Drosophila melanogaster: one gene and its partners. The protein of the gene in region 2 interacts with the protein of the main gene of each other region in a pairwise test. Each region holds a gene or a part of one and is shown on either strand. Other genes may lie near its edges.

Region 1 (6,266 bases), on a different chromosome or scaffold from region 2:
GTATGTATATACCAAATGGTATTTATTTTAAAAACGAGTGGCTTTTTTAGGCTCATTGGTGCCAACTGTTTTTTCGAACAGATCGCCGGACGCACTGTTTCTGATTGGAGTGTTCGCTGCCTGTGCATTTAAATTGAATTAAAATAATTCCAAAACAGGAAGAGCAAATACATCTTTCCGCGAGTTCACCTTTACTGTCAAAAACAGGTAATTATCAGATCTTCTTGATACGACCTCAAGCTAAACATCATTCCATTATAATACGCTAGAAATTTTGCTAACGAAATTGGCGGGGGCAAGACATTTGTTTTTGCTGTTGTTGATGATGCAAGCAATTTCTCCACATTATGTAGAATTGCGTTTGCCGCCTCACAAAACACATACACACAAGCACGGCTGCGAATTCAATTCGCACACCCATACAATCTCAAAAGAACCTCGTTAGCGAAATGTGTAAAGGTGAAATAGAAGTCATTCCATGCGGAGCGCGCCACAAGTAAAATAACCTACACCATCGCAATCACACCCTATTAAACATGCCATCGGAAATAATGCAGCAATAATAATCTTGAACCGCTGTAAACTTCCACTATCGCAATTGTTTAATTGCTCTGTGACGACGACGCTTTCAGCGATGATGAGTAATTTTGCATAAATTTGCTCTGTGCCGGATTGTCTGAATTATATTTGAAATTTTGTTGCTGTTTCGGCGTCTCAGTGATAAGCATTTGTTGTTGCAGACCCGAGCTTCAAAATGTTAACGGCGCTAACGTCCTTTATCCACAAGTTCAAGGTTAAATAGTACGGCACATAGTACTCATTACATATTGACTGAAGCCTGGAAAAGCACTTTCACTTTCAGAACTTTTCTCGTGCGTTTTCCGGCGACAAAAGCTGCAGGCCGGCGAGCTTTACTTGCACGGTTTCTGCGCGTGTCACTCACGATGAGCGAAAGAGAGAGCGGAAGATAAAAGGAAAGTAGATGCTCACGCACTTGCATAATGGCAGTGCGAGCGAGACGAAGCTGTTTTCTGTGGAGGAGATTAGGTTGTCAAGGTCAGCACAGTGGAATTCTAGGTGGAAGTGGGACAGTTGGACAGTGGGCTCTTTTCCGCGTTGCTTTTTTTCTGTATTGCCAGCTGATAAGCGCCGTCTAACAGCTGATGATCGGTTTTTTGTTTACCACGCACACACATACTGACATCACGTGTCCATATAATCATATATACACATACTTCTGTACAATGCAAATTTATATGCAAAAATTAATAATCGTAATGGATCGTTGAACCTTCTGTTCTATCCGATTGCCGGCCAGCCTAGCAACGGAGCTTTGCGCCAGTTAACTTCGGAGCTTCCTTTTTGGATAAACTTTTCGCATCCCCTTACGCGAAGGGAGTTAGGGTATGTTGGCACAATAGCATATCTTGATCCTGCTAAACACTTTACTTATACTTAAATATCGAATGATAATTTGAGCCTCTATCTTTTCCATTTGATAATATCTTTATTAATTTTTATATGCAGTATTGTAAGATTAAGGTTATATTTCACTCGGAATTATATTGGGAATAGCGGTAAGGCCACTTGGTCGACTGAGCAGCTGGCAGTCCCTGGTCGAGCATACCCTTGAATATACCCTTCTTGCTCGCTCACCAATGTTGTCTCTTTAGGGGTGGCCTGTTGCGTCCGCCTCTTGCCTCTTGGGCCCAAACTCTCTCTCCTCTGCGTTTATGCTCTCTTTGCTGTCGGGCTACCGACATTCTGAGCGCTTTTTCTGCGGCTAGGAAAATTTCCGCTTGCCAAAAAATCTGTGTGGCAGTCGAACTTTTTGTCTCGTCCTCGCCGCGTCCGATTTTCCATATATCCCGATTTTCGTCTCAAACTTGGAAGATATATTGCCAAAATATTGCATTCGGCTAGCCGCTGCGTTGTGTGTGTTGTTGTGCGTGGAGTTGCGTGTGCAGTTGCAAGAAGATATAGTCGTCTATATCGTCAGACCGATCTCGATCCCAAGTGCGATTCCCGTTGGTTACATACTACCCGTTCGGTAGGCAACAAAATGGTGAACGTAACCATCTACGATGAGGCACCGCAGCTGAAGGTAGGCCAATGTCACGGTAATGGAAGCCCCCAGAGTTGGTCCATAAAGATATTCATAATCGCCATAATCAGTTGGCTGGCGAGTTGGCCCGATATCAGAGTCATTGGGGAGGAAAATGTGGGAAAAGACAATTATGCAACTGCAGCTGAGAAAATTCTGTCGGTCGCGGTCGGCAGAACTGACCTTCGGCGGTGCAGATGTGCAGCGCTGCCGGTGTCGGCTTCGCTGCACACTTTTCTTCCGCCTGCTGCTTTCTCTCTGCCACTCTCTCTTCCGCTCTGCCTTTCTCAGGTCCTCTCTACGGGGGACACCCCTAACCACCCACGCCCATCCACTCAAGCACTTCAAGTACACGCACTTTGTTTACATCAGCGAATTCTGCAGCGACAGCTTTGCGTTTTTCAAAACATAACATGCACAGTGCGAATAAATATTTTGATAATTTAAGCAATCGTAAGAGTTAACAAATAGTATTTAACGCAACAGCATCATTTAATATTGGTAATCGATTATAACATTTTATATGTCAAGTTTTATCAATGGCTTATTTACACATGCTACTAAGTACCATCAGAATGATAAAATACTGTTAATATATAACGTTATCATTTTAATTAGGATTATTAGATTATTTAAAATCATTACCTTTATATGTAAATAGCTCTATTTTATCTGTCAGTTCACAAATATTTCAATCATTCCTTTTGGTCATGAAAAATGATTGGTGCGGCGAGCATTTGGGCTTAAATCGCCGTATTTGGCCCGTTTGGTTCTATTTATAAGCCGGTGGTAAACATTTAATTTGGTCGATAAAAACTGTATCGATTTATATTCGTTGATATGAAGAAGGGTTATCATGAGTTTTGCACGCATTCGCCACGTTTATGTTGGGGTCCTAAATGTGTTTCGCATTGCATGACTTCACCAGGGCATGATTTTAATATCATAAAACTAGTTGGTTTTTTTATTTTTTGCTAGAACTTGGTAGTTTTTAAAACGCGTAGGGTTTCTTGTTGCTAGGAAGAGACTTCTGATTATTAGCGTAAATTGGAAATAAATGCTTAAAATCAATAAACACGACTTTAACCTGTTTTATTGCAAAAGTTGGCAATCAGCGTGTTGATTTCTAAAAATAAAGAATCAATTCGCGCTGTTTATAAATATGAAGAGAAATGAAAACAAACAGAATTAAGTATAGTTTTCATTTTGCAGCCCAACGAAGTACCCCAAAACATGGCCGCAGGAGCTGATACCCAACTGGAGCACATGTGCCGTCTGCAGTTCGACTCGCCAGTGCCCCATGTGCGTCTGTCCGGAATCGTGTGCACCATCGGACCTGCCTCCAGCAGCGTGGAGATGCTGGAGAAGATGATGGCCACCGGCATGAACATCGCGCGCATGAACTTCTCTCACGGATCGCACGAGTACCATGCCGCCACCGTGGCCAATGTGCGCCAGGCGGTGAAGAACTACTCGGCCAAGCTGGGCTACGAACACCCCGTGGCCATTGCCCTGGACACCAAGGGGCCCGAGATCCGTACCGGTCTGATCGGAGGCAGCGGCACCGCCGAGATTGAGCTGAAGAAGGGCGAGAAGATCAAGCTGACCACCAACAAGGAATTCCTGGAGAAGGGCTCTCTGGAGATTGTGTACGTGGACTACGAGAACATTGTCAATGTGGTGAAGCCCGGCAACCGGGTGTTCGTCGATGACGGTCTGATCTCACTGATTGTCCGCGAGGTAGGCAAGGATTCCCTCACCTGCGAGGTGGAGAACGGCGGCTCTCTGGGTTCCCGCAAGGGTGTGAACCTGCCAGGCGTGCCCGTCGATCTGCCTGCCGTCTCCGAGAAGGATAAGAGCGATCTGCTGTTCGGTGTGGAGCAGGAAGTGGACATGATCTTTGCTTCGTTCATCCGCAACGCCGCTGCTTTGACCGAGATCCGTAAGGTTCTTGGCGAGAAGGGCAAGAACATCAAGATCATTTCCAAGATCGAGAACCAGCAGGGCATGCACAACCTGGACGAGATCATCGAGGCCGGTGATGGCATTATGGTGGCCCGTGGAGATCTGGGTATTGAGATTCCCGCCGAGAAGGTGTTCCTCGCCCAGAAGGCCATGATTGCCCGCTGCAACAAGGCTGGCAAGCCTGTGATCTGCGCCACTCAGATGTTGGAGTCAATGGTGAAGAAGCCACGTCCCACTCGCGCTGAGATCTCTGATGTGGCCAACGCTGTGCTCGATGGTGCTGATTGCGTCATGTTGTCTGGTGAGACCGCCAAGGGCGAGTACCCGCTGGAGTGCGTCCTGACCATGGCCAAGACCTGCAAGGAGGCCGAGGCTGCCCTCTGGCACCAGAACCTCTTTAACGACTTGGTTCGCGGCGCTGGTACCATCGATGCCTCTCACGCGGCTGCCATCGCTGCCGTTGAGGCTGCCACCAAGGCCAAGGCCTCCGCCATCGTGGTGATCACCACCAGCGGCAAGTCGGCCTTCCAGGTGAGCAAGTACCGCCCACGCTGCCCCATCATCGCGGTCACCCGTTTCGCGCAGACCGCCCGACAGGCCCATCTCTACCGTGGACTGGTGCCACTCATCTACAAGGGTAGGTTTTTGTTTCTCCAGGTCGTTCTTTAAATTATAACTCTGGCTTGTACTTGCAGAGCCCGGTCTTGGTGACTGGCTGAAGGACGTGGACGTGCGCGTGCAGTTCGGTCTGCAGGTCGGAAAGAAGAACGGCTTCATCAAGACCGGCGATTCCGTCGTGGTGGTTACCGGCTGGAAGCAGGGCTCCGGCTTCACCAACACCATCCGCATTGTGTAAGTTTAAATTCTAGCATGTAGATATATATGTATCTGTGCAAAAATTATATCAACAAAACTAACGCAATTATCTATCATTTCAGCACCGTCGAATAAATTCTGCCGCTCAGGAAGTACCTGGATGCGTCGCAGCTGCCGCGGGCGTCGCGTTGATTACTGTTAATAACCAAGTTAATTTATTAATTACACAATATTCGGAATATTGGAAACTGCAGGAGGCTGCTGGAACCGCTGTCAGAAGCGCCGAAGGCCGGCCCGGGCCTCAAACAGACACACAAATATACTATACCATTGTTGAATAATAGAGATTTCTTCGAAAATTATAATAAAGTCATCACTGTATTTATGTACGTATGGAAAGTAATGTGCCATTTTCTCCTTATACTTGGAACCTTTGGGTATTAGGTCTGCATGTACGAGATCCACATCCAGTTCCCTATAGGCAATTGATTTTATTCGTTTTTGACAGGTAACACTACATTTTATTTTTGTTTCGGTGTATCAAAATTTATTCAAAATTCATCCATACGCAAGAATCCTTAGTCCAGGGTCCACAGTGCCCATATGTTCCACTTGCCTGTTAAACCTAAGATATCGCTGCTATGCCAGCAAATGCAAGAAAGAGAAGGTAGGACGTTGTTACGTTGGGAGTCAATCATCCGCTTATGAATTCTTTCCAGAAACCACCGAAGTTCCGACTGGACCGCGGACCATTCGCCTCCCAGTTGGATTACCAGTCGCGACTGCAGTACCAAGCACCTGCCCTGAGTATCCCCCTCAGCAGCATCATATGCACCATTGGACCCTCATCCAACAGCCCAGAAAAGCTATTGGAGCTCATCCGGGCTGGGATGCGGGTCGTGCGTATGAACTTCTCTCACGGCTCTCACGAGTATCACTGCCAGACAATACAGGCGGCTCGTAAGGCCATCGCCATGTACGTGGAGCAAACGGGTCTGCCCAGAACATTGGCAATTGCTCTGGACACCAAGGGTCCAGAGATCCGGACGGGCAAACTGGCCGGTGGCAATGATAGGGCTGAGATAGAGCTCAAGACCGGAGACAAAGTGACATTGAGCACCAAGAAGGAGATGGCAGACAAGAGTAACAAGGATAATATCTATGTGGATTATCAGAGGCTACCTCAACTGGTCAAACCAGGAAATCGGGTATTTGTAGACGACGGATTGATTGCATTGATCGTGAAGGAATCAAAGGGAGATGAAGTGATCTGTCAGGTGGAGAACGGTGGCAAGCTGGGCTCCCACAAGGGAATCAATTTGCCAGGAGTTCCGGTAGATCTTCCCAGCGTAACGGAGAAGGATAAGCAGGATCTTAAATT
Region 2 (5,511 bases):
GCAGCTATTAAGTCCGAGTAAGGCGATAAATCGAAGTCTAGGAAATCTACCAAATCAAGCGACGGATTCAATAACGAGTTGCAGTTTAAAATTGTAATTGTGTAGTAGTGGAAAGCGAGGAGGAGGTCAGAAACAAGCGCGGACCACGGGTGCGCCACCACCTGGTGGCTGCGTGGTCTGGCACTTTTCTATATACATGCATACACATACATATTTATATACCCGAATATATATATATATATATATACAAGCGTACATAGGTGTGGACTTGACGAGACAAGAGTAAGAGTATATTTTATACGATAAACAAATTTTATAACATATTTAATAATAAATTATACACTAATAATTGTGGACACTGCTCTGCGTTTTTTTCTATCTCACTTGAACACTTGAGTTCCACAGCGCAAGCCTAAAGATAGGCTACTGTATCTCACGGGTGCATAAGAGTTCAACTAGCTAATGGTTCCATATGAATGCTTACAATGGATTGGTTGAATTGAATTGAAATTGAATGGGAACAATCAATATATTTCTGGGTTTTGAAGCCAATCTAAGGTAAGTAACGTACTCCCGGTTGGAGCTCGAAAAACTGAGCGAAGATGTGGATTGCATACGATCGTTCAATGAATCTTAGAATGGATTGATTGAATACCTCGATATGTAATCATGATTGTGATTGAAATTGATTCGGAGCAATTACTTCAAGTCATTCTACATATCTGGTTATTAAAGCCAATCTTAAGTCAATTATGGGTTTCAAACGTAATTGAAACATTATGATACCTTCGAATTGGTTGATAGAATGATTAATTTCAATCTTAGTTACTTTCTGACACAAAGATAAGGCTTTAGCCCATAGATATTTACTTCTCAAATGCCAGCATCTTTAGCTGCCTCGTTTAATGGGTGATGCCGTCACGCGGACCCGGAACCTGGGTCAAGGCCACGCTTCCATCTCCATAGAGCCCACATACATGCGACGCAAATGGGTTGCGGGCATTGTCGAAAAAGTGCCGAGCGGCCATTAGAATGACAAAAGGAATCGCTAAGTACGCCGCTGGGCATAATGAGACTTGGCGAGGCAACTGAAAAGTTGGAATACTATTTGGAATCGCATCAATTGCGTGACTACAATTGCGGCAGCTTTGTGTGCAAAGAGCACCATTCGAAATCACTTTTACAATTGTTTGCTGGCCGTAAAGTTGGGCAAAGCGAGCCAAAGTCCACCGCCAGCTGGTAGCGACCAGCTAATTTCAGTGGCGAGAACAGGTAATTACGGCATTAGAATCCGGACTGATATGCCAATTGGCAGGTTTACTGGACTAAACGCGATCTGTTTAATGGATCTCAGCTCTCGATCTCAAGCAGACGACGTCTGGCACTGAGGTTTTTGTCCGGATCTCATGGTCAGGGTGCGAAGCTGTCCGCTGTGATTCGATGCAAGTGAATACTTATCAATAACCGGTTATTTATTAGCCGTCACTTCACTTGCTGGCTTCTGCCGCAAAACAGCTGCTCGAAATAACAAACACCTGAAAGGCAAATAGTTTATTGTTTACGGGACGATCTTTAGCCTGGCTCGCCCTATTCCTAATTGGCTAGGGCATCGGGTACAGGCTGCACTGCCTAAATAGAACTGATGTCAAATCTCAAATTAAAACTACCTTCATTACAGTCATAATTTCTGGTCAGTAGTTATATCTTGTGCCCTTAACTTTGCTTCTAAATAGCATTTAAAGAATGTAACACTTTTATAAGAGTTTTTTTTTTGCTGTAGCACAGATTTGTTACAACTTTACTTCATGATAAAAAAAAACGAGTCTAGTTGACGAACCCAATAAGTTGCCATGAGCAACTATCAAAAATGTGGATTTAATTTGAGGAAAAACAGATTTTCGCAGGCGCCCAGTTTGTAAATTGGCAGTTGGTGGTTCCAGTTTTTCCAATTAGTGCCACTCTTTTGCAATGTGACAAACGCCTTTTAAACGGCGTGTTCGTTGCACAGAAGCCGGACTGTATCGTCATTCGGATTAGTAGAGAGGTGGCTGGCATCCATCACCATTATCTGGTGACTTTGGGCCGGGAATGCGTGTGCATCTGCGACCTGTGATTAGCGCCGAAGACCCCCATTAAGAAATTCAAATCAAAAGTCGAGATTTGAGATTTAAGATTCGAGATTCGAGATAATCAAGAACGCGAAGAAAACTGAAACTGGAAAAGCGACGACGACTGCGGGTACGGGCCAACTTGGAGCGCTTAGCCGGGCTTAGACGTGTTTCGAGCGCGGCGGCGTCAGGTGAATCCGAGATTCAATCCTAATTCGAATTCGAATCCGAGTGCCCGGTGCGTGTTCAATACGCTTTTGAATACAGCGACTTGTTTGCTGGCTAATTTTTTTTTTTCGAGTGGCGGGCTACGCATACAAATTAGACCAGCACATAGTGTCCATGTGTAATTAAGCGACCCGATTCACTGTAAGCCGCTCCAGCCGAAGTGTGGTCGAGTGCATCGGTCCGGCTTTCCGCCTCCAGATACACGCGGCGGTGGTCAACGGCCAGTGGCCACTTGGCAGTGCTCCGCCACTCAAATCAGTTGGCTTTCGGGCGTTATCGCGCGCAGATTTGCTTGGATTTAAACCAAAGTACCGGATAGTGGTTATTTAATCTACACTCGCGCTTATTAGCCAACTGCGTTGACAATTAGCCGGCCCAGATGCTGGAATGAAAGTGAAACTGGAGACGGAAAACCGAAAACCAAATCCAGTCGAAGTCGGTTACATGATAAACGCCATGTGAATATGTTGTCATACAGAAACGTGATCCCCTGTGCTAATCAATTCAATTCGCATTGAATCATCGAGTGTGTTGGCCAACAGCCATATTTGCATGGTTGAACTTGAAACTGATTACTGATTATGGAGTGCTGGTGCATTTGGGTGTTTTTTCATTGATATATTGTTGTTTCAGCTTTTAAAGACTTCAAATCGTAAGCTTGAATTGTATACGATTTGTTTGATCATTTGCAATTATTTTATTATGTTTATCCCCAAGTCAAAATGTACAAATATTTATGAAAAGGGATCAAACACAGCTGCACTTTCAAATTAATAAAGAAATTGTCGAGTGTCACGACTATTAGATATCCATTACTGAGCGCGAAGAATTCTACTAATAAATACGCAGTATCCAACTTGCTTGCTATTGTAGTTTCCCAGAATTTCTTTTACATTTGATCCCTATAAACTTGGAAATTCTATTAAAAATTCGACTTATAGAAATCCATATTTTTACAAGTATTGTTGTAAACTATTATTCGTAAGGAAGTGCAAAGTTGTGCCATAAACAATGGCGGAAAAAATATTACAATCTAATATGAATACTAGAAATATTGATCATCTATTGTAATATTTCTTGTTTAGACAATATTTCAATCTTTAGTTCACCTTAACCAATTGGCGGGCCAAAAAGCTTGTGTAAGTCAATGTGGAATTTGTGAAGGATTTCGCCAGCTGGTTATTTAATTGATTTTCCCACGAGGACAACTTGACAAATTGACATTGATTTTCATTTGGTTTGCTTAGTTAAGTGTGCAATCTTCTTGTTCGGACATTTGCCACTTAATAGTTAGTAGTTAACCACATTTACCACATTCGTTTCCTGGGAATCCCTACAGCTTTTGTGCTATTTAAAAGTGTCCCCAATAGCGAATTTATAACCAAACAAAAAAACACTACGATAATGTTTGACAACGCGATTAAACCTCATCCGGAGGCCAATGGAGCTCCAATAAATGGTAAGCTAATGAAAGTCTTACTTATCAAAATGCCCGATTTTATAGAGTTTCCGTTAAAGCAGCAGGAGATCGGCCGATAACTACTGTCATTAATATTGGTGAGTCAAAAAGTTCGTATGCCACAAAAGCTTTGCATACAATGTGTATAAAAATAGAAGCAGTACTCAGAGGGTGAAATCTAGTTTTTCCTGTACAGCTTAAAACTTGATCAAAAACTAAGGGGTTTTTAAATTATATGCATTATTGTAAAGTCCAATAATCTTAATAATCTTAATAAGCGTGAAAGCTTTTATAGGACACGCATGTAACATCATTATTTAGCTAAAAATAACTTAAAATCCTCAAACACATTTAGTTTCACTCATGGTGACTCCGTCATATATTGTTTAATCGCACTCATTGTTATATGTCATTTGTTTAATCGGAGTCACCGTTACCAAGCACTATTATCGGAAAGTATAGAAGTGCGATATATAAACAAATGCGTTCGGTTTAAAGTGGGGAGTGTACTATGTCCAACTAATATTAACACCATTGATATTAGCAGATTAGGCTGGAATAACGTTCAGAATGCTCTGAACTTGTGTTAGCCGAGTCCAAAACATACTGATTCGTTATCGGAGCGACACGCTTGACTTTCCCCATCCGAAATCCAGTGTCCATATCAGTTGGTATATAGCTTATGTATGTACATTCTGAACGAAATACACATGCATTCAGTTCTGATAATGAATGCCAGCGGCCCTAGTCGAGTATATGTTCGGTTCGTGGAGTAACAATCCACTCAGTGTCGACCGGCATTTGCGTTGAAAAGGTGTGTTCTGTTCTCGGAGAGATTAAAATAGCGAATTCAGAGTGTTTTTTTTGGGTAAGCCAGCTGTTTTCTGTGCACCGACTGGATATGCTTATTTATGGTGCAATTAGGTTGCGCCATTTAGTGAACAACCAGTTGTTTTCGTTGGAAACGAGTATTACTCTTTTGCAGTTGTGCCAAAATAAATAAGTGTTTGAAAAACTGTTACGTGTTTGCATAGTTTAAGTTTACCGCTATGGAAAGTTACAGACTGAACGACATTAGCAAACACTGGATTAGCAGTGACATGAACCAAGATTAACTTAACACTTACTATTGTTTTACAAATAAAACGAAAACTTAAATGTTTACGCCAATAGACTGTAGTTACATCCCGATAATTTTTAAAGAACCACTTTAAACTTTATTATTGTCGAAATTTACGACTGTAGCTCGTCTTATATTAGGCGCCCTTTGGCACTTTTTAGCTACAAATTCGAAGCCCAGCGCGGTCACACTGGCAGCAAGTTTCGCATTCAGATCCGATCCAAATCTTGAAATATACAAGTTTTGTTGTCGCGGTGAACGGTTGTCAAAGCGCGTCAACTGCATGCGTTTATATCTTTTTTCTTCCTGCTGACGGTACCGAAAAGTACACATAATTTTAACAACAAACAGAAGACGCACAACCGAAACAACGGTAGATGCGTAACGAACGAAAGTGAAAGAGTGTCAGTGTTGTTTACATTTGCCGTGCCACCCGCTCCCGCTCACGACCCCTTTCCCTTTCTCCTGAAACGCAGAACCAGAACCAGAAACCGAAAGTCCAATTGGGATCTTCACATCACAACCGGAAAGTCAACAACAACAACCCGAGCAGCTCCAATCCGAATCCGAGTCCGACAGAATGGCCAATTTTGACG
Region 3 (3,799 bases), on a different chromosome or scaffold from region 2:
CCACCTAAGTCAACATTTATAGTCTCATTAGTAATGTTGAAAGGTCTTTGATGATGGTACTGTTTTTCTTTTTTATCTGGCAACTCTTTTACAATCCCATACACTTTCCCATGCAACTTGTTTGCTGCCAACATGTTGTTCGGCGATACTAAAAACTAAAACTATGCAACATCTACAAATCTGGCCAACAATAAACATTCTCATGTACCTATTAGATAGATGGCAATTACCTAAAACCGAAGCCAAATTGGCGACAGACGTACTTTCAAGCCGTTTTCAGCTGCCAAATAATTCAAATACATGCAGGGGGAAAAAAACGGGAAATTGTCGCCAGGTCTGCCAAATAGCCAAGAAATGCAAGCCAACTGCCAAACAATGTTGGGCCCCCGCAAAGTGGCTTGGAAACTGCCTCGATTAGGCAGCCGGCCACCTTTAAGGCTAATTGAGGGCCAACCACGTAGACTTGGGAACTATGCACGGGAAAACAGAGATACACAATGAAATAGGTGAAAATTACCACGAAAGACAATTGGAAATCACTTAAAGCCAAAACGCTTGCGAAGGCAAGATGTCAAGGTTGGCATAGGGCTATAATGAATTACGATCACAACAAGTTTTATACAAATCACTATGAATGGTTTATTACAAATTCGAGCACTACAATTTTAATGAAATTTCAATATGAAAATTCCTGAAAATAGATCTAGAGCTTCCATCCCGTTTTCGTGTTTGAAGGAGATGACCGTTTACGCATATTTCTATTTTCCACGGATACATTATTTTCAGCTATAATCTTCGTGGGTTTCGCTATATTAATGTGCTTGGTCTCATCTTTGGCTGGTTTTCCCTGATCTGTTAGAGCAAATCGCACCCTATTTTTTACTACGGAATCTTCTCGAGGTTCGGCGTCTGGAATCACAGGCTCCGGTTTATTTTCTTCTCGTACTAGCGCTTTAGTTTCACTAATTTTGTCGAATTCTGGGGGGAAAGGATCAAAGATTTCTTTAAATTCTGAAAGTTTGTCATCATTTGCGTTGGACTCTGGTTCATCCAAGTAATTAATATTACTCCTAATATCATCAGAAATCGCTAGCGGCGGCTTGGGTATTACGGTCGAATTTAGGGCTTCTTGCAGCATGGCCATATCCTTGGTTACAAACTTAACACGTTTTCTCAGTGACTCAATCTCCGACATAGGCACCTAGAACAAAACCCTATTAAGCCCCTTCTACTGTACGTTTTCCCCCCCCTTTAACTTACATCGTTCCATTTGTGTTTGAATCTTTTAAATACAAGTAAGAGGAGTACGATAAGGACAATCGTAAGAATCACCAGGTAAGTTGGTGATCTTTCCAATACCAGAAGTTTCAACAAATCAATGCCTTTAAGAGTAAACCAACAAGCCGATGGCCAAGAATTGCAATACGGCGATATCTTTACCGATGTTTCCAAATCAACTTTCTGACGATAGTTCCACATTTTGGGCCTGACTTTTTGTTAGTTTCTATCTGTAATTTAGGTTGTATTAAAACGGATAACCAACCGGTGATGTTATCACTTTTATAATGTGATTTGAAAAGTATTTTCTTTGCTTGCTAGACTGAATTCAAATGACAACATTTAAAATGTTCCTATGTGGAAAAATATTCGTTCTTTTAAAGAAAATAATTGTAGAATTCCACTCATTCCCTTTCCTTTTTCAGATAAAAATCTTTAACCTCTTCCCACAATTTTCCCTAATTGTTCTCGGTTCTTTAATGCATTTTCCCCCACCATTTCCCAGTGCAGCTTTTTTGAATGCCAAGTGCAGAGAGTGGGAAAAACATGTTCCCAGCAGCGGAGCAAAAACAAAGGCATTTGCATGACAAATTCAAGTCGGCCCAAGTTGTAGTTGCTTCGAAAAGAGTAGAAGCCATGGGAAGAACATCAAGGTCCGGAAAGTTGACAGAGCAACCACAATTTATAGCCTGCGTGGGGTTAACTGATTTGCACACGCCTTAAATGCAGACGATTTTAATTACTTTATCCGATTTCGTGCATAATTTTCGAAGAAATGTTTATGAAAAAAATTTGTTTAATAATTGAAATGCTAATCGATATTGATCGATGCTCTAGTAATGATCTAACTATTACAGCCTTAGTTTAATGATCAAAATGATCAAAAGTATATAACAGTACATAACGATACGAGATAAATGTGTCAGAATCGATAACATCAGCAGACTGAGTTTTATTTTGGGTCAAATTTTGTTCGCGACTTGACAAAAGTGCCGGCCTAAATTCTGAAGAGTTAACAATTGCGGCAAGTTAAACCTGTTTCTGGAACCCTCTCACTTCACTTCCTCCGATCGGATGAGCGAAAAAATAAATTCCAACAGCATGACAACCCCATCGAGTCAGCCAACTTGTAAGCCACATCAAGAGGGAAGGAGTTGGCTAAATTGAGGGGAGACAAGAAAAGACCCGCATCTTCTACCTTCAACCTTTTCGCTCGGTCCCCGAGAAAAGTTCACAAAAGCGGCCAAACTACTTTTGGCTCAAGAAGATGGCAGCAGGAAGCACGGTCGCCAGTTGACAAGCAGAACTGCCAAAGGAAGTTATATAAATTGCAGCAGATTCCATCTTGGAGCTCTCTCATTGTACTAACATAAATCTCATGCTGTTAATCTGATATATTTATTTTACTTTCGTTTTGGTTTCAGTTGCAATTAAGTCCCAGAAAAGAGAGCAATTTTTTTTTCGGTTGTAACTTTTATGACAGCCTCCCCCGCCGGCAATAATCATAAATTTTAGTTTTTGGGGGTGGCAGCGTTAGGAAAGCTCTTGAAAATTGCCCAATTGAACATCTATGTAGTTGTACAACAATTGAAACAGGCGAATAAGATGGGAAAAACTGATAACTAATTTAGGCAGAAGAAAAACAAGCAATTGAGCAAACCAGCTAATGGAAAATTGGGAAAAAAACCAAAGGCAACTTATAGCTGAAATTAACAATCTTAGATAAGCGAAGTCATGGAAACGCTTGTGAAAACATCAAATGTGATGAGGACAAATACTGAATTAAAAACTATATATATATATTTTTTAAGGAGCAGTGCACCAATAATTTTTTTAATTAAGATAAATTATAAATATTTTTATTTACAAATCAAAAAACCAAAACCAAAATGGAGCAAGAATGGGGGTTATGATTTATATGAAGCTCTACATGAAACCCCGAAAGAAATTATATTCAAGGGTGCTTACTGTCTCATGGATCCCCAACGACGCTGGGATAAACTATCAGGATTGCTGTAAGAAAAATTTTTATCAATTGGGATATCTAATAATAGTCTTATTCGGTTCAGTTTTAACCGCAATAGAAACATAGCAATATAGCAATCTTTCTAATCATCTTATTTTCTTTTATATAAGTTCATATATAGAATGAAATTTACGCCTAATTTTCCAAATATTTATATAGGCAGTTATTTAGAATTATTTAAAATTGCCAATATAATTATATAAAATTGTTATTTAAATAAATGATTTATTCTAGCTATAACTAGGTAACACTCATCACTGTATAATTTAAGAGAATTGTTGCACTCTCTTACGATCAGTTGAACTGTGAATTCACCACGGCTATGGCAACTTGTTGAACAAAGGCGGAAATAGAGTAAAAGAGACGGCGGAACACGACCAGAAAGAGAGGCACGATCGCTGAGTTGTGAGAGATTCCGAGACCCGAAGACAGAGACACGCATGAATCACGGCCCAAAGCGATTCATGAGCCCAAGTCAGAGCATAGAAAAAACTG
Region 4 (6,094 bases), on a different chromosome or scaffold from region 2:
AGCGCGGCTTCACCGGGCCCAAGGGACGCGATGGACGCGACGGAACACCAGGTCTGCCTGGACAGAAGGGTGAACCAGGAATGCTGCCACCACCAGGACCCAAGGGCGAACCTGGTCAGCCGGGACGCAATGGACCTAAGGGAGAGCCCGGACGTCCGGGAGAGCGTGGCTTGATTGGCATCCAGGGTGAGCGTGGCGAAAAGGGTGAGCGCGGCCTGATCGGTGAGACTGGTAACGTGGGACGACCCGGACCCAAGGGAGATCGCGGAGAGCCAGGCGAGAGGGGATATGAGGGCGCCATTGGTTTGATCGGCCAGAAGGGTGAGCCCGGTGCTCCAGCCCCCGCTGCTCTGGACTATCTCACCGGTATCCTGATTACGCGACACAGTCAATCGGAAACGGTGCCCGCTTGCTCGGCTGGACACACGGAACTGTGGACGGGTTACTCCCTGTTGTACGTCGATGGCAATGACTATGCCCACAACCAGGACCTTGGATCCCCCGGATCCTGTGTGCCACGCTTCTCAACGCTGCCCGTACTGTCGTGTGGTCAGAATAACGTCTGCAACTACGCCTCCAGAAATGACAAGACCTTCTGGCTGACAACCAACGCCGCCATTCCGATGATGCCCGTTGAAAACATCGAGATCCGCCAGTACATCTCACGTTGCGTCGTTTGTGAGGCGCCGGCTAATGTGATCGCCGTGCACAGTCAAACGATAGAGGTGCCCGACTGTCCGAATGGCTGGGAGGGTCTCTGGATTGGCTACAGTTTCCTCATGGTGAGTATCGGAACACTTATAACGTTAGATTATAGAAGAATGATGAGAGTTTTCAAAATCCACAAGGGATGCGTTTCCGAAGTTTCCCTAGCTTTCCAGCAGATGGCGCACGTTCCAACGACACTCTTGCGCCATCTGTTGGATACTGCGTAGCGAAAGATTTGATACAATAGTTTTAATTTTCAACCTTTATTCCTAACTACTTGTGGGATTTTAAATAGTTCTTTTATAATGATGCTAATATTAACCCAACCATTTCCTATAATAGCACACTGCCGTGGGCAACGGTGGCGGTGGACAGGCGCTGCAATCGCCTGGCTCCTGTTTGGAGGACTTCCGTGCAACGCCCTTCATCGAGTGCAACGGCGCCAAGGGCACGTGCCACTTCTATGAGACGATGACAAGCTTCTGGATGTACAACCTGGAGTCCTCACAGCCGTTCGAGAGGCCACAGCAGCAGACGATCAAGGCCGGCGAGCGGCAGTCGCATGTGTCCAGGTGCCAGGTGTGCATGAAGAACTCCTCGTAGGACCTCCAATCCCAACACAGACACACCCACAGCACAGAGCATAAGTTTAATCTAAATGTAAAGCCTTAAAATTACCAACGAATCGTGTGCACACCCACACGATCACAACACAAACACAAACAAACAAACCAACACACACACACACATACATACACCGACGAACCAACACTGCTACAAATTCCTTAATCTAACCAAAAAGAAAAAAAAACGGATCCACAAGTCGAAGTGCTAATTACCGACCGACCTGGACCACAATGCCATTTTTTATCTGCCAATTAATGTTCTAAACAAATGTAAACTGCTTCTAAGTTACGTTACGTATGTTAAGTAAATGAAACAAATAAATAAACTAGCCTCGGTCGTATGTCCAAAAGTATAAAATAAACTATGTGCCAGCATGTTCCATTTATTTTTGAAACCGATTAAATGCGAAACAATGCAACAAAACGCGGTATCGAACGAATATCGAACGAATCGAATCCTCAACTGCTATACAAAACTTGTCGCATATCGTTTTAAAATAAACTAAAATTTATAAATACAAATTACGACCACAATTTCATACAAGCCTATTTAGAGCAAATATTGTTGAGGATAAAAAATCGTATGCCCTTCAGTGATAAACTTCCTGCAAGACAAATACTGCATACTTTTTACCCCTAACATTGAGTGATAAGATCTTCCTCAAAAGACCAGGGCTAAGGGTAGGCTATTGTGGTGGAAACCCCGTCGCGGAGAACCCTTAAAAAAGCAATGCCAAGCCAAGGATGAGAGCGAACTCACCTCGTGCACTTGTGCGCATGCCATTGCCTCTCTTTGTGCGGATTTGCGGTGGGGGAGGGGGTTGGTTAGCTGTCAAGGGGGTGGCGATGACGATTGGGGTCGCCGTGGACGGTTTGCGGGGCATAAAGTGGGGTGGACCGAGCCATATGATAATGATATGCAGACACACACACGCGCACAAAGTCCAATTGGTGGTTGGAAGCAGGTCGTGGAAAATAAGGGTAGGCCTTTGTGGGGCGATTCAAGTTGGAATCGTAAAAGTGAGTTGGAAAAAAAGTGCCAGAAGCCAGTGTGACTTGGACGCAAGCGGAGGCGGTCGTCGGTGGGAGTTGTAACTTCAGCCAGATAAGAGGAGCTGCTTTTTGTAGGTGTGGAGGAGCAGCAAGACGGAAAAAATGTGTGTACCTCGAAAAAAAAAACAGTGAAAATTGCGAGCTCTCGTTTGGAAAGCAGCGTGAAATTTGCATAAACTAACAAGACCACAAAGCCAACGGGAAGTGCACCACCAAAATCAGAGACTCCCAAGAAGCAGCAGTCTTCCGCCCCACCAAAAAAAAAAAAAAAAAAAAGGAAGAGGACACACCACCACCCCTACATATTTATGATTATCGTCCTGCTGCTGCTGTTCCAATCGCTGTGCCTCTACTGCCAACGCCTGGTGCTCTACGTCCACGACCGATGCTTCCCGAGGAACGTGCGCCTGCTGCAGGAGGTGGCCGAAACGGTGGGCGATCGTAAGGCGCCACAGCGCCTGGCGGAGCAGCAGCTGGAGCAACAGAAGCGCAGCCAGAAGCGTCGCATCCTCGAACCAATCCTTCCGCTCGTTGGTGGCCTCAATTCCGAGGCCTGTCGATTTTGTGCTCACAGTCCGCAGGGCTACTGTCGCCATCACTTCCATCTGCAGGAGCTGCAGCTGCACAGGCAGAGGGGTTCCGGTGGTGAGCAGGATTTCCGGCAGATTCGCCGAATCAAGCGGGAGCTAAAGCGGACTCTTGGCCAGCAGCAGCAGCAACTGCAACCGACGAGAAGCTATCGTCCAGTCCGACTGAGTGCCAGCTGGAGCAGCAGTTCCCTGAGCAGTGGTTACGCTTCACTGACCAGCGTTGGATCGCAGGAGCAGGAGGAGGCGTCCTTCGATCAGGATATTATTGAGGACGTTCCACTGGAGGAGGAAGCGGAGCTGCAGGACCTGCCGCAGGAGGATATCCAACAGCCCCTACTAACCACTTACTTGTAGATAAACGCCTCTTGGTCTCATCCTTGCATAAAGAATCATCCACTTGGAGTTCGTCTGGAGAACTGAAGAACCCTTCATAAAAACTATGCTATAAAGATGTATTGAAAAAAATTGTATAACATAGTTAACCACCAGAGAAACGAAAGAACAAACAACTACGAGCTAAAGACGCCACCCCTGAAGCCGCTCCTTGAACGATTTCAACAACTTTTGAGACCTGGAGAAGCTCATCAACCCCAGGAAGCCAACCCTATTGAAAACTTAACCCCCCCCCCCCCTCCCAACAGTTCGAAGGGTTCCCTTTGTCAAATTGATACAAATTGAGAAGCGAAAAAATTTCTAGTCGCAACACAATGTCTGATGTTGAAGTGGATCCACAGCAGGCTCACCCCCATCCCATAGCGGCAATTGCCCCGAGGAGACGTCGTCCAACCGGTCGACGAGGAGGAGTAACAGGAGGGTTGTCGTCCGGTTCACTGGATGCATCATCTTCCACATCGCCGCCACCCCGTTTCTGTCCGCTGCCCAATGGCGTTGAGGATAACTGGACGTGGAGCAAGCGGCACCGCTCCAAGGAAGTGGTGCTCAGAGGACCCAACTCGCGGACCGTGCACTTCCATCCCAACTGGAGCAAGGGCACTGCCGGTGTCCAGGGCAAAAGATCCCTGAATAACGGACGGCATTACTGGGAGCTTCATGTCTCGCAGCGCGTCTTTGGCACCTCGATAATGTTCGGTATCGGTACCAAGTCGGCACGGCTACATGCCAACGCCTTCCGGAACATGCTGGGCGAGAACGAACACGGCTGGGGACTGTCCCACAAGGGCGTGCTCTGGCACGAGGGCGTGGCCCTGCTGTACACGAAGCGGTTCCGCGAGAATCAACCCACCCAAATTGGCGTTCTCTTCGATGGCATTGAGGGCACACTCACCTTCTACAAGGATGGCAAGTGCCTGGGCGTTGCTTTCCGCGGATTGGATCAGGTGAGTCCGGTTGAATTGTTCAATCCTCCAAGGATCAGGCTCTAGAATCTCGCCTAACTGCCCAACAGATTGATGAGCCCCTGTACCCCATCGTATGCTCTACTGCCGCCAAAACGGAGATGACCCTAAAGTGCACCAGGAGGGAGTTCGTCAACCTACAGGATCGCTGTCGGGCGGTGATCATGCGCCGCGTACGAAGCGCTGCGCAGCTGGAGAAGCTGAAGCTGCCGCTGCCCATCGCCGACTATCTGAGCGAGGTGATCGACGAGAAGAAGCCACTGCGTCAGGTAGACAACTACGATATACTGTGTGATTTGTAGAGCTCGGATCGTGTCCGGTCAACGTAAGCTAAGTTTATAGAGTACGTCCTCGCCCCCAGGTGAATCAGCTGGAGATGTGCATTATGAATTACGATTTGTATGAGGCCCGTGAATGATTTTAGTGCCATCACATATTGGAGTGCCCAATGACTACCAGACGATGCAGTGGCTCCTCTGGGACGTGTGCATTTCTCGTAGTAGCTTTAGAGCGTGCTAAGTTTAAGCATTCGGAATTTGTGTGGATAATAGTCGTCCGACCTTTTGATTTGTCTTCATTTGTAGCGAAAATGTGGGAAAATAGGCCAATTTGGTGCAATATTTGTGATATAAGAAATGAGAAAAACGTTTTTCGGGGCTTCAAGTGCTTGCTAGAAAATCGCAAAATAATCTAGAGCTAAGCATATTTTTCGGTACAGACGAGTGTGAAATCTAGTCAAAAAGAACACGCTGCTAAACTAATTTTGTAAATTCGCAGACAGCAATTAAGGCCTAAGTACTGTAATGTAACAAAATGAAAATGTGTCTAGTCATAAATTGCATATAAAGCAAAGTGTAATTTAGTAAAAATTATTTAGTACGCTTTATGTAGATTTTTGTTTCTGTTTATATAAATTACTACACATAATGTAATTGATACATGACGAAACAAACGAAATAGTATTGAAAATTAAATTCGTAAGAAGTGCTCAAAAGAATTTGGCGATATTGATTTGCAATTGTCACTTGAATTTACATAAATAAACATAAATTTACTAACTATTTAAACGAAATACAATACTAAGCACAGGTTCACTATAGCACGATGGGGCTTTGAATGGCATCTAGAGCTCGTCGGAGAGATGGTTAATGTTTTGTAAATGGTCGCCGTAGTCGGTGGCCTCACTGCCCACAAAGGTATCGTAGTTGTTGAGTATTTCCAGGTAGGACAGGCGATCGTCGTGATCCTCATCGGTGGAGACAAAGAGATGGTCCACCTCGTCGTTGGCAATTGCCGTATTGCTTGGCACAATCCAGGATAAGACCTCATCGCCCGTCAGCACGCCATCGCCATTGGAGTCGTGATCCTTGTCGAAGCGCTCCTTCTCCGTGATCAGCCACTCCTTGTCGTGGTGCGAGGCTGCGTCGCCGACAAACTCCTGGAAGTTGATCTTGCCATCGTGATCCGCATCTTTGTCCTGCATCGTGTGCTCCAGCAGTATTGGCAACATTTGTGGATGCTCCTCGGGATTTTGGAATAAAACGAATTCCTCCAGCGTCAGCACACCATCCTTGTTCGTGTCGGCCGCATTGAACATCTCCTTGTCCTGCTTGATCATCTTCTGCTCATCCTCGTAGCTGTCGTAGTCGATGGTCTCCTTCTTGAAGTCCTCATCCTCCATGGCGTATGTGTCCTGGAGATACTCCTTCCACGTAATTCTCTCGTCCGCATCCTGGTCTATTTCTTCAAATCGATCAGCGGC

Evidence for each region.
Region 1: the proteins of Aldh-III (region 2) and PyK interact in a two-hybrid assay, tested with the Drosophila melanogaster proteins (one large-scale study listed by BioGRID).
Region 3: the proteins of Aldh-III (region 2) and saturn interact in a two-hybrid assay, tested with the Drosophila melanogaster proteins (one large-scale study listed by BioGRID).
Region 4: the proteins of Aldh-III (region 2) and CG14042 interact in a two-hybrid assay, tested with the Drosophila melanogaster proteins (one large-scale study listed by BioGRID).

Annotation. Positions count from the first base shown.
Region 1 is NT_033777.3:22,367,462-22,373,727, forward strand, and holds PyK (pyruvate kinase), read left to right. Parts: upstream 1-1,820; 5' UTR 1,821-2,062; coding exon 2,063-2,104; intron 2,105-3,316; coding exon 3,317-4,706; intron 4,707-4,764; coding exon 4,765-4,921; intron 4,922-5,007; coding exon 5,008-5,020; 3' UTR 5,021-5,285; downstream 5,286-6,266. Other genes in the region: CG7069 (uncharacterized protein), read left to right, coding at 5,776-6,266. UniProt on the Drosophila melanogaster protein: Enzyme of the glycolytic pathway. Glycolysis is essential in glial cells but not in neurons; neurons rely on the citric acid cycle for their energy needs, and on lactate and alanine secreted into the hemolymph by glial cells to fuel it.
Region 2 is NT_033778.4:7,473,724-7,479,234, reverse strand, and holds the start of Aldh-III (aldehyde dehydrogenase type III), read left to right. Parts: upstream 1-2,072; 5' UTR 2,073-2,988; intron 2,989-3,675; 5' UTR 3,676-3,740; coding exon 3,741-3,795; intron 3,796-3,854; coding exon 3,855-3,893; intron 3,894-4,575; exon of another isoform or gene 4,576-4,663; intron 4,664-5,104; exon of another isoform or gene 5,105-5,391; coding exon 5,392-5,511.
Region 3 is NT_037436.4:14,201,114-14,204,912, reverse strand, and holds saturn (saturn), read right to left. Parts: upstream 1,591-3,799; 5' UTR 1,480-1,590; coding exon 1,261-1,479; intron 1,202-1,260; coding exon 704-1,201; 3' UTR 619-703; downstream 1-618.
Region 4 is NT_033779.5:5,035,427-5,041,520, forward strand, and holds CG14042 (uncharacterized protein), read left to right. Parts: upstream 1-2,282; 5' UTR 2,283-2,695; coding exon 2,696-3,331; 3' UTR 3,332-3,684; coding exon of another isoform or gene 3,685-4,314; intron 4,315-4,382; coding exon of another isoform or gene 4,383-4,634; 3' UTR 4,635-4,693; coding exon of another isoform or gene 4,694-4,750; 3' UTR 4,751-5,392; downstream 5,393-6,094. Other genes in the region: Col4a1 (collagen type IV alpha 1), read left to right, coding at 1-782, 1,051-1,311; SP555, read left to right, coding at 3,685-4,314, 4,383-4,601, 4,694-4,750; CG31650 (uncharacterized protein), read right to left, coding at 5,456-6,094.